3 linked regions of the Oryzias latipes genome follow. The protein of the gene in region 2 interacts with the protein of the main gene of each other region in a pairwise test. Links are inferred from orthologs where the notes say so. Each region holds a gene or a part of one and is shown on either strand. Other genes may lie near its edges.

The links.
Region 1: the proteins of trim59 (region 2) and nrm interact in binary tests that used the Homo sapiens proteins (3 or more experiments, as listed by UniProt). The two-hybrid records come from large-scale screens. The link is inferred for Oryzias latipes from reciprocal best matches to the Homo sapiens genes TRIM59 and NRM.
Region 3: the proteins of trim59 (region 2) and zdhhc22 interact in binary tests that used the Homo sapiens proteins (3 or more experiments, as listed by UniProt). The link is inferred for Oryzias latipes from reciprocal best matches to the Homo sapiens genes TRIM59 and ZDHHC22.

The regions. Positions count from the first base shown.
Region 1 is NC_019869.2:5,698,182-5,702,307, forward strand, and holds the start of nrm (nurim), read right to left. Parts: upstream 2,934-4,126; 5' UTR 2,879-2,933; coding exon 2,728-2,878; intron 2,547-2,727; exon of another isoform or gene 2,474-2,546; intron 2,345-2,473; coding exon 2,151-2,344; intron 1,495-2,150; coding exon 1,318-1,494; intron 1,109-1,317; coding exon 797-1,108; 3' UTR 1-796.
Region 2 is NC_019871.2:13,509,642-13,513,705, reverse strand, and holds the start of trim59 (tripartite motif-containing protein 59), read left to right. Parts: upstream 1-1,264; 5' UTR 1,265-3,119; coding exon 3,120-3,374; intron 3,375-3,446; coding exon 3,447-3,665; intron 3,666-3,898; coding exon 3,899-4,064. UniProt on the Homo sapiens protein: E3 ubiquitin ligase involved in different processes such as development and immune response. Serves as a negative regulator for innate immune signaling pathways by suppressing RLR-induced activation of IRF3/7 and NF-kappa-B via interaction with adapter ECSIT.
Region 3 is NC_019880.2:13,011,817-13,016,025, forward strand, and holds the start of zdhhc22 (palmitoyltransferase ZDHHC22), read right to left. Parts: upstream 2,937-4,209; 5' UTR 2,817-2,936; intron 1,187-2,816; 5' UTR 1,185-1,186; coding exon 629-1,184; intron 548-628; coding exon 273-547; 3' UTR 1-272. UniProt on the Homo sapiens protein: Palmitoyltransferase that could catalyze the addition of palmitate onto various protein substrates and be involved in a variety of cellular processes. Catalyzes the palmitoylation of KCNMA1, regulating localization of KCNMA1 to the plasma membrane.

The sequences.
Region 1 (4,126 bases), on a different chromosome or scaffold from region 2:
TATCTTTACATTTAGGAAACAAAAACCTCAGAAACCTCAAAACCTCATGTTCTGCTTGAATTCAGATAAAAAAGTGTAACAGATTAGAAAAACATTTAAAAATGTCACCATATTGAAACACATTTGAAAGATTTTAACAAAAAGGCATCTTTGTTCACTAACAGAAACAATTTAAATGAAAAAAGTTTATTTTGTGTTTGTTATGTTTGCTTTTACAACTAAGTATCAGTCGCCATAAAAAAAAGAGAATACAGTTGAAGAATTATGAGTAAAACAGTCCAATTTTTACATTAAAGTAGTAAATTTATGATTTCAAAAGTTGTCATTTTACAACTATAGGGCACTTTTTTTTCCAAAATTAAAGATGTAATTTCATTAAAATAAAGCTGTACAATTGCAAAAAAGTAAAGCAGATTCAGCGAGATCCTTAAACAGAATGACGTCCTGAATCATAAATTAAAAAGGTGTAATGTTCAATTGTCTTGGTTGAAGCCTTTTAAAGGCTAAGTATAACATTTTATTAACTAAAAAAGCCTGGCTCTTTTGCAAAAGCATAAATATATTACTTTGTTCTTGTACAATTTTGATATTTCTCTATTATCATTTTACGACTTTATCATAAAATACATTTAATTATTTTCTTGTATTGTGGCCCTAATTTTCTGTACTTTCAACTTTAGTTTGAAATGTTGTTAAAAAAATGTAAAAAGTTTGTGTAAAAAGTTAGTGATAAAGGGTCAAAAAGTGGTTCCCCTAAAGGTCAAAGTGAATCCCAACGTCAGCTTTGACTTTGACCTCACTTCTCCTTATAGTTGCCGTCTTCGCGCTCGGCTGCACCGCTGCCATGCGGCTCTGCAAAGATCTGCATCCTGCTGCTCATCTGCCCGCAGACATAAGCCAAGTCGTGTTTGTCCAGAGAATGCGCCGCAGCCAGGTACGCCGACAGCGTCCCTGCTAACAGCAGCCGGTCCAAAGATAAGGAGGGCAGGAGCCACAGCACCACAGCCAGCTCCACGCACACCGGGTGGCGGTAGTGGGACAGGAGGCGCCGCGCTCCAGAGGCTTTATGCAACAGGGGGTCCCCCAAGCTCAGACAATCGTAATACACCTGAGACAGGAGAGTAGAGAGAAAACTTTACATCTATTTACCCGTTTTAAAATATGAAATATTTCTGCAAACAGTATTAGTTTCACTTGGTAACAAATACAAACCTTAAAATACTAATTAAAAACAAAATGTATAGATTTTTTTTCCACCAGAAATGTATGAAACCATCTAAAATGCCTAAAATAAGAAAAAAGAAACAGGTTTCAAACCTGCTTGATGCCCAGAAGTTCTGGATAATCAAAAATCATGAGGATGCTGCAGATGATGGCCCAGCACAGGAAGTGCAGTATGAAGCAGAGCAGGGGGAACCAGACACTCCAGGGGGGGTCCCGGACTGACCACAGGCAGGGGGCGCTGGTCACAGGCTGCCAGAGGCGTATCAAAACCTGAAAATGCCAAAAAAAAAAAAAGTCAATCAAAGTCAATCAACATGAATACATTTAAAAAGCATTAAAAGGTGAGTTTGTTCAATTTTTAAAGAAAATAAAGAGTCAAAACATTTATAAAAAGACTAAAGAACCTGAGACAATATAAAGGGTTTTAGTGGCAAAGTAAACACAGAAAAGGTCACATCTTAAAATGACAGAAAACTTTAAAAAGACCCAAAACAGCACAAAAAGATTCATTCATTCACTCATTCATTTCATTTCACCCAACCCTGCCATCACTGCCCCCCCTGACCCGCCCTCAGCTGCTGAACGACTGCTTCATATTCCTCACTCCCCCCTTCTGCCCCTGCCACCCTGGTCAGAGCTGCATGTGACAAATTCATGAAAAAAAAAAGTTTTTCAAAAAGCGGCTTTTCTGTTAGTTTATCTCCTTAGCAACCATTTCGTCTTGTAGTTATCTGGGGGTGACGAACAAGTCTATGTAATTTTTTGAAGAATTAGCTAAAGTAAATTTTTGTATTTCCTTGGCAACGGAGGTTTTTAGTTTACCACGCCCACATTAGTCGTGCAAATTTTACTGGTCCTTCAGTCCAGGACTGCAGCGGGACATGATGATGCTGCGGCACATGAAAAAGGTCACGGGGGCCACACACCTGCAGGGCCAGGGCCGTGGTGAAGCAGTATGCAGTCCGGTTCAGGGGCCCCAGCACTGACTGCAAAGCCTGCTTGACCGGAGACCAGGCAAGCAGACTGTGCTGTGTGATGAAGAGAGCCATCAGGCACAGATCCACAATGAGAGACCTCAGGACTGAGCCATCAGAAAGAGCCACCGACCATGGTATGGTGTCTGGAGAAACAACAGATGTAAAACACTTTAAATGTTATTTTTTAAATACATAATACATCAGAAGTTTCATTAAATGCTTTCTTATAAATAAATGAGTACTTAGAGAGAGAAAAAAGTAAAAACATATTTCGCCCAACGTGGGGCTCGAACCCACGACCCTGAGATTAAGAGTCTCATGCTCTACCGACTGAGCTAGCCGGGCGGCGTGCAGACTCGCATCCCAGCAGAATTTGATACTGGGGTCCGCCGAATGAGTCACTCGTTTTCATGTTAGATAACAAGAGTTTATTGAATGACTTAATATTTATGAAAACAACGAATCACTCCTACACTACAGTGACTTCAACTTCTATTGGCTGGCCGCTATACCTGCGTCAACTTACCCTGACAGAACGGCGTCTCTCCGGTGATGTTGTGGTAAATGGCTCGAAACGATACAAAGCGAATGAAGTCTGCGCCTGATATGAAGACAAATAGCGAGTTTAGCAGAGACGCTGTGCACAGAGCCCAGCAACGAAGAGTGACTACCGCCATTTCCAAAAGCGTTAATGTTCATTTCACAACAGTTCCGGAAGAGTTTCTTTGACAGTACCTGAAATGGACACGTGGGGGCACTGTTTCCCCGTGTATTGTTTGCAAGCTCACTTTACGTCTAAAATTTAGACAGGAGGGTGGAGGAGTCACTCAGTCCATTTTTCATATACAGTCAACGATTTAAACTTTATTTGACTGTATATGAGAAATGGACTGAGTGACTCCTTCCCCCTTCTGTTCCAAACAGGAAGCAGCTCCAAGAAGCCAAAAACCCACAGATGTCTATGGAGAAATAAACATCTATAACTCAGTTATTGATAATCCTCTTTTTTCATGATAATTTTCTGTTGTTGAAGTTATTCAAGTTATCAACTGACCAATCAGATGCCTCAATAAAAGTATGTGGTCTGCATCAAATGCCCTCAATGTTTGATTGACAGATTCTCACGGGTCTGCTTTCAGTGGAAGGCATGAGGTCTTCTAACATGCTCACTCCTGACTGGAGAGAGCGCTTGCCATAGAAATGTTGTAGACTCGGACCAACCGCTGTTTATTGACGATTTCTGCTTCCAACATGGTGGCATTCAGATCGCAAAAAAAAGGCAACTGAATTGCTACTGGATCAGTAACGGCTACCGGTTTGGAACCGGAAGACAGTTGTTTTCTATGGGTGACATCACATCCACTCTATCCAGTTTTTATGGTCTTTAATATGATATTTACAACAAGGATAAACTCATGTCTTTGTCAGTGAACCTGATGTTTCTGTCCACTGGATGGATGTGGGAGGTAATTTCTTCCACTTCCTGGGTTTTGACCCATGTGACATCCATATGTCGGATCCAGTGTTGGTGCATCTCCAAGGAACCGCATCTAGATTGATTTCCATTTTTTCCATGTGTAGGTTGATCACTGTGGGAGACATTGGTTATTTTAGGCCACATCTGTGTTTTTACCTGAACAATTTCACGTGAAACGGGAAGTAGGTGTAATTCAAGTAGCTGTCCAGCTGATCATAAACGTGTTCTGGTGTCAGCTTGGGTCTTCTTCAAGGTTTGTCCTCACAGTTTGTGAAGCTTTTGTGGAGGAAATGCAGATGAAAAAAGAGGTAGAGCAGAGGTTCATCTGCTCCATCTTGAGATGATTGCACACAGACTCAGTTTATGCGAGAAGGGGAGGGGATTTTCAGGAGACCATAGAAACATGAGACGACGTCTGATTTAATATTGATTCATATTTTTTTCTCTC
Region 2 (4,064 bases):
GTTAAAGGCAATGTGGAGCAGCAGTGCATTGAATTAAGATGCTTTTGGGCTTTTCTTTCTGCCTCCAGTGTGTTTCCTTTATGTTTATATTTTCCGTTTCAGCTTTTAGTTTCACTGCTTCTGTAACAGTGACTTGATGACGATTGTATTACACCTCTCCACCAGAACCTGAAGCACCGGACTTTGGGCTCTGAAATTCTGACACCATAAACCCTAATCAACCAAACGATCTGTTCCTCCTGTAACTTCCTCTTTTTATCATTTAAGTTTTACAGCAAAAATCACAGCTTGCAGTATTGTTGCCATAGCTTTGATTATCACCGAGGGAGAATAGAACAACAGCCTTGTCACATAGGATTGTTAATCATAACCTTTGCATGTACTAAACTATAGCACAGTTCTTTTTAGGGTATTTTAGTTTCCTTAGACTGTGGTAACAGTGTAATTTTTCATTTTTAAGTAAAACTGTGCTTAGATGTTACATGTTTACCCTTCCCTTAGTCTATGCTAGTGTCCAGTTTGCAAAATAATCTGTATGGTTTTGCACATCATTCTGCAAAGTGAGGCCTGAAATCTTTCTGGGGTTTACCTGCAAACGTTCTCCGGATTATGCGGCGCAACCCCGGCTTTTGATTTTTCTAGACAGATCCATCGATCCCTTTTCGTGATACTTGAGAGAACATTAACTTTATTTCAGGAGCAGCAGGAATTAATCTGCTAATGTATATCAATTAAAGAGGGACTCAAAAGTCCTTTTTCTTGTGGTGTCCCAAATGCAGACTGGAGTTGTTCTTTGTGGGTTTCCCTAAATAATATATAAACTGGCAAACAAATTTGCTGTAACATGAGTACCCTGCAGTCCCCCTCTTTCTTCCTCTTACCAGCTAGGTGTACAAGCTTACCCCCCCCTTTTCAGTTTTTGTTACCTTGATACACTGTAGTGATGATTACACATTGTGCTCACGATCCTTCTGTTTAAACATAGTTTTTTTTCCTTCCTTTTTTTTCATTTGGTTTTGCAGCATTCCTTGTTAGCAAACGTGGTTTCAAATCTAAAACTATTGAAGGAAAAAAATAAAATGCGGCTTTGCCTGAGAACAAGTTTTTTGGGAAAGGCTGCAGGATGGGTTATCTTCAAGAAAATAAATGGTGAAACCCTGAGTGACTGCGTGTGTGTGCTCTGTTGGTGGAGAGGCGCCTGCGTCTGAAGTTCGGTTCAAATCGGTGACGGCGCCTGCTGATTGGCCAGAGAGACAGTTTGTTCGCATGCGCAGTTTCGTGGTGCATTTGGAAACTGTCAAAAAATTGTTTATCTTCTGTTGTTTGTACTTCCAAAAGTAAGATGTACCCAAAATCAGAAATATTTTTAGTATATTTCGTATTTTAAATAATTTTTGCATAGGTTTGTGCTGCTAAAATTACGCGTGCTTCCGTGTCTCTATCCGCAGCTTGTATTTAGGAGGGATTTATTCTAAGTGTCCCTGAAGGCAGCACCGGTAGGAACAGGAAAAGGGAAGCTCAGACGGACACTTTCCTTCTGAAGTGACGGTGAGTCTGAAACAAATAATTTCCTTACGAAAACATTGTTTACGCCATCACATCTAACAGGCGAACAAGACAAAAAACATTTCCGAGCTGACACTGAAGTAACATGATAGCTTTGCTAGCAGTGCTAAGTTAAAAGGATTTGAACTTGTTTTGGTAATTGCGAGCACAAACATTCCTGATGCTAGACTAGTGTTTTTAAAATGAGCTAAAAGTAAAGCTAGGCACGACGTGTTCACGTCCATTTGAACCGCGGCGCCAACTTTGTCCCAGTTTCCACGCACGGATCATGTTGAGCAGACTGTCCGGACTGAGGTGCTGGGACGGGGTGGCAGCTGGCATCGAGGCCGCTATTGTTCCTGCTCTGGCGGCTGTAACAGGAGCAGAGACGGTCCTCCTGATCCCCACACAACACGATGATGAGAGCCAGCAGAAAAGCTCAGAGGCCAAACCTTTAGAAACAAGACATTCAATTTCATTTAGCAAATAAATAGTAGAGCTCTCACATTTCCCTTTTGAAGGATTGAGCTCCATCTAGTCAATGTTTTTTTTTTTAATTATTTCTCTTTGAGTAATGACTGATAATGGCTGACAAATTAATCGAATGGGTTATGATAAGATTTACATTTCAATACATATTTTTCTCGCTGCTCTTTTTACCTTCTCATTTGGGTCTTCATCATTTATATTTCTCAGATTGCGCTTGTTTAGATTAAAATAAATATATTCCTTTATTTTAGGAATTTCCTGGAGATTTTAACTGTCCAGCCCAAAATGAAAAACAATTCCCTGTAGTTTGTATGTTGTTTTATTGAAATTGGACTGAAGGCATTTTAGAAAGTCTAGATCAGTGGTTTAGAACCAGCAGCTCTAGAGCCTCTAGTTCAACTCATTGATAAACAGTTGAAGGACAGTACGTATCACAAGTCAAACTAACGTATGGACAGATTTTTGAGCGCCACATATTAAAAAAAAATCAATTGGAGGTCAGTAAGCAGTACTGGAATAAATAATTTACTGCTGACATGACACTACCTACGACTAAATTAGCTGCATTGAGATGATCCTTATAGTACATGGAGGCTTTTATTTTGAAAGAAAGTATTGGGAACCTCTGTTTAAAGTTAACTCAAAGAAACGGCTATTTCCTCTGTGTTTTGTGTTCTTTTCTATTTATCATAATGACAACATAAATACAAACCTGTGTCTTATTTTTCCAAAGGGTGAATGAAGTAAGACCTTGTGGCTCCTGCTTGATAGTGGTCAGTAAGAAATCAACCAGAATTATTTAAAAATTTTTGGTTGAATGAGTTTCAATTTTTACAAGTAAAGGGACTAAAAAGTCTTTATTGCATTACCCTTCTTGATGGTCTAAAATACTTTATTTTTATTTTATTTTCAGATAATCCGATGACATAAAAAGTGTCATGGTGCTTCAAAATAAAAGAATTAATCATATGTTTGCTTTGATGCTTTATTTCCGTTGTGCGATGCGCTGTTTTCTTTCCGTTCTCCTGACTTTCCAGACTTCCCTTCCAGGCCTGCAGTCCTAATCCAGGCCTCCCGTCTCTGTCATGGACAGCCTGGAGGAGGACCTGACCTGCTCGGTGTGCTACCAGTTGTTCTCCGACCCGCGGGTCCTCCCGTGCTCGCACACCTTCTGCCAACCTTGCCTGGAGAACCTGCTGCAGGTGTCCACCAACTATTCCATATGGCGCCCGCTCCGCCTACCAATCAAATGCCCCAACTGTCGCAGCGTGGTGGAGCTGCCCCCGGCGGGCGTGGACGCCCTGCCCAGCAACGTCTCCCTGCGGGCCATCATTGAAAAGGTGTGGAGGAGTTTTGTGCCTCGGTGGGACGTTTCAATTTTAACGTTCTTTTTCTGTTTTGGGGGCTATAAGTACCAGCGAGATGAGGAGCCACGCCCCCCGTCCTGCCAGGAGCACCCCAGACAGCCCCTCAACATGTACTGCATCCAGGATCGCCAGCTGATCTGCGGGCTGTGTCTGACCGTCGGGCAGCACCACGGCCACCCCATAGACGACCTGCAGGCCGCTTTCGCCAGGGAGAAGGCCACTCCCCAGCAGCTGGCCGAGCTCTCCGAGCACAGATGGGCTGAGGTGGGCGGGGCTTTCATGGCGGAGTGGTTAGATCTGCAAGATTATGGCAAAATGTATCCAAAACATTCAACATTTTGGGGAAAAAGCTTGAAATAATCCAAAATGCTGATGAATTTCTGACTGACAGGCTCCCGCGCGAACCTGTCAGTCAGAAATTCATCAGCATTTTGGATTTTTTCATAACAAAAGCTAGAATAGAGACAGTTTGAACGTGCGGTTGTGTGAATTTTAAGGTTTGTGAGCTGGGGGAGCAGCTGGAGCAGGAAAAAACCCGATGCGAGGGTTTGCTGAGACAGGACCGGGACGACGTGACCCAGTTTTTTCACTCCCTGGCGTTGGTAATGGCCAAAAAGAAAGAGGCTTACCTGGAGGTTCTGGACAAAGCTGCTGCTGAGGTGT
Region 3 (4,209 bases), on a different chromosome or scaffold from region 2:
GAAAAAATACAAATATTGCCAGTTTGTCGTATCATTAAAGCTGTGAAAACATGCAAATCAATGAAAGAAAGCAAAAACTTTAGAATTGAAACGGAAGCTAAAGATTAAATGTTGATACTTGCTTTTTAAAGAGAAAGGTCTTAGCTCCTATGGCTCCTTTCCTAAACTGAATATGTGCCATTAGTTATTTCAGGGATAACTTTAAACATAGAGCATCCCATCATCAAAAGAGTTCTAATCGGTCCTTTAAGTTTTTTGACCTATCCCGATCCTTAGTCTTGTTTTTGTCCATCAGCATCTTCAGAGCACTCCTCCGTTTGCACAGGCAGGATGAGTCCGAGGATCCAGCGCGTGCCAAAGACGTGCTTCAAGTTGGCTCTCCAGTTGCTGCAGTTCCTCACCAGCTCGCCTCTCTGCATCTGACACCAAGTCTGTCCCCGAGCCACCAGCAGCATCTGCTGGGAGCAGAAACCGGCGCACACCAGGCCGATGCCCAGCCACACATACAGCATCAGCACCAGGAACAGCTGCAATCCTGAGATGGTTCCTGTACAAGGAGGGGGCAGAGTTAGGGCTAGAAGTGTGGCAACAATTATCTTTGTGTTAGCATTCTTTTTTCAAGACTCACCCATGAAGAAGGAGCAGACCGAGAGGGGGAGGAGAGTAAGAAAGGTCAGGGGGTTCTCAAAAGAGATGGAGTACTCCACTGTCAAAAACGCGACACCCAGAACCAAAGAGTACAAACACGTGCATGACGTGTAGATGCAGAACATCAGGAAGTAACGCATGTTTTTGTTGCCGATGCAGTTCCCGGTGAAAAAACAGTGGTGGTCCCTCTTAAGGATGATCTTCTTGCACAGTTTGCAGAAGTGCCGGCCGTTCAGAAGGTAGTGAGCATCCACTTTGTCTGAGCAGTGTGGGGAGCACACAGGGATCAAAGTCTCGTTGGCACTTTCAGCAGGATATATGATAGTCATAATGTAGTTCCCCAGTGCGTTGAACATCAAGAAGAGCACAAGCACTGTATGGAGAGTGGATGACACCATCAGGGAGGTTTCTGGGTAAGGGAATATAGTCGGGATGAAGAAGAAGAAATGTAGGATGTTGGTAACTGCTGTTGCCATGAAGAAATACACAGGTGCCACGGCGTTGAGCAGTCTCAGTTTTAACATTCGGGTGAACATCTCTGTGGGACAAAGACGGAAAACAGGTTTGATCAGAAGTGGAGAGGATCCAACAGCAATTTGTTAGATTAAACTTGTGTATGTGTCGCAAGGCAAACAATTATTTTTATTAACAAATGCAAAAAATTACAGACATAATCTAACTTAAAGCCCATGTTGTCTAATTAAAGTAGAATTTACAAATTTGATTTGTTTTTTATTGTAATGCACGTCCAAATAAGCGAAAGGTTGCACAATGGTGTGGTAGTTAGCCCTGCTACTCAAAGATGTAAGGTTTCTGGTGTTATTCCCAGATAGGTCCTTTCTGTAAAGATTGTCTATTTTCCCCTTTGCATGTACTATATGTTTTCCTGTACGCTCCAGCCTCCTTTGAAGTTTCATAGCTTATTCTGGGACTTCACCCCTCATGGGTGAATGTGGATATCAGTGGCCCTGGTCAAGGCTTCTCATCCCTGCCCTCACCTTCAAAAAGGTAGAATAAGCTTTAAAAACCCTTGTGATTCTTCTTAGGATAAAGTAATCAAGTTAGCATGGTGATGGATAGAGAATAAAAGGATTGTCAAAAACAATCCAATAGATCTTTGAAGCCCATCTGCTAGACTATCCAAACAAGTAGTTGAAGAGTTAGATAAGTTAAATCTGGTACATCGCCTGTGCATCCTGGGGGAGGATCCCTCCTTCATGCGGGCATCCCTGAGGTTTTTTCTTTTTTTCCCAGAATCCATTTTTTAGGAGTTTTTCCTTATCGAGAAGGAGGCTCTAAGGCATGGATACCCAAATCCAGGCCTCAAGGGCCAGCCTCCTGCTACTTTTCCAGAAACTCGCCTTGTCTCCTGTTGATTACCTGGATCAGGTGTGTTTAGCCAATAGGTGCTTCAATAGCAGGATGGTTGGAAAACATGTAGGACACCGGCCCTCGAGTCATGGATTTAGGCACCCCTGGTCTAAGGGCAGGGGTGCCCAGTTTAGCTTAGTCTGTTTAGTTTAGTTTAACAATTACCTATTTTATTTTATGACTGATTTCATGTTCTTACAGTTACCAATATAAAGCCCAGTGAGACAAGTATTGTTTTAATATTGGGCTATATAAATACAATTAAATTGAACTGAACCTTTTGGAGTTACTATAAACTGTTACACTGTGCTAAAATGTATAATACTTCAAAGACTTTTTTTTAAGAAATAAATATCATATTTAGATTTCCTATTTCATTAAAACACCCATATCGAGGTAATTTTCATGCAGCTGTAGGAGTAATAAGACTATAATCATAAGAAGAACTCATTTCTGTGTAAATGTGGGTCTTTGGGGCCACTGAGAATTCCAAGAATACTCTATCAGTCTCCTGGTGGTCTCCTAACCTGCAGGAGTAAGAAACAATCAAATCGTATGGTGACTATCAAGTTCCTCAGAATAAACCTGATGCCTGCGTTTGCTTCCACACAAAAAACATGATCACTTGGAGTTCCTCACGCACGTGGCAAAACAAAATAGCTTGAATTCAAGAAATAGTAGCTGGATCTCTTTTCTTTGTTTTCAACATGAGTAGGAAATTCTTCCAGTTAAAGATGCTGACCCCCCAACCCATATGTCGCCCTAACTTATGTCTCCTGGATGGCGCCTCTTCCTACCTGAAGATGTCCAGCTGTTAAGGAGCTGTTCTTTCAGCACCACGAAGCTTCCTGCTGCTGTCTCCCTCACGCAGACAAAAACAGATTTCTCGGAGCCACGCTGACGGTGTTCATCCTCAAAGTCTTCACAAACTTCTTTACCGCCATCTGTCGGTGCGGGTGCGCATGCACAGAAAAGAAACAGATCGCTGTAAAGCATTTTTAAAATAAATGCATTTGTTATATGGGTAAAACAGATGAAGAAACAAAAATGTCATTCAGTATATTATATTATATTATATTATATTATATTATATTATATTATATTATATTATATTATATTATATTATATTACACCTTGATGTCTTAGAACTTGAGTTTGAAATGCCTTTTTAGGCAATAATAATAATAAAATAAACAGTAACATCTTGTTCTAAAGGAAGTATAAATGTGGGAAACCAGAATACTGTCATCAGTAGTGTGATTACATTTCCTTGCTGTATGTAAAAAAAAAGTGTTCTATCGGAAGGATGGTTTCTGAAAAGGGGAATGCTTCAGTAGAGGGCAACAAATCCTAACTTATTATTTCATGATCATCTCTAGGTGGTTACTTCACAGGAGCTGAATCTCCATGGTTACAAAGTTGCCCCCTGCCGTCATAGTTTGCACAAAAAAGAAATCAATTTAATTACCCTCTCTATTTAAAATATTTAGAAATACTTTTTGATTTTTTTTGTTTTAAATACAAATAACACAAAAGGGAACAAACAAAATCTGCATTTTGGTATCCTAAAGCAACAACAACAAAGATATTGAATTATAACAATATTCTGGAATATAAATGCAGTAATTATGAAGAGCAAATTGATATGTAAAATTCTAAAAAATCCCCCCCAAATTTTTTTTAGTGCAATACAAAACAACACAAAAGCAGTTTCACTGATACATAAGGTGATATTAAACTACTGTGGTGTCTGTTAATGTTAATTGGTTAATGTTTGCATTTTTGGTTTTTACATTAAAAAATACAGTTGTTACAGGTTTATTCACATTCAGTAATGTTGTTATTTAGATTTTTTTTTAAAAGTACAACAAAAATAACCACAAGCCCTTGTTGAACCTACAGTGTCTGAGTAAAAATTGTGTGTAACTAAGTCAGGCTTTTTTTTCTGATTATATCAATATTTCTATTTTTGGAGGCTAAAAGGGAATGCTCCTGTCTTAAATAAAGCCCTCAGTGTTAAAATGTTGTGAATTATTTCAAAATAGAGGGTTCAATAAGGGAATAATTTGAGGGGAATTTAATTTTGGATAAAACATTTCTGTTTATGACTGGGCATCAGTTACCCCTCATTCTCCTCATGTGAGCTTGTCATGTTAAATTCTGAAAGTTATGCAGCTGACCTGTAGGAGC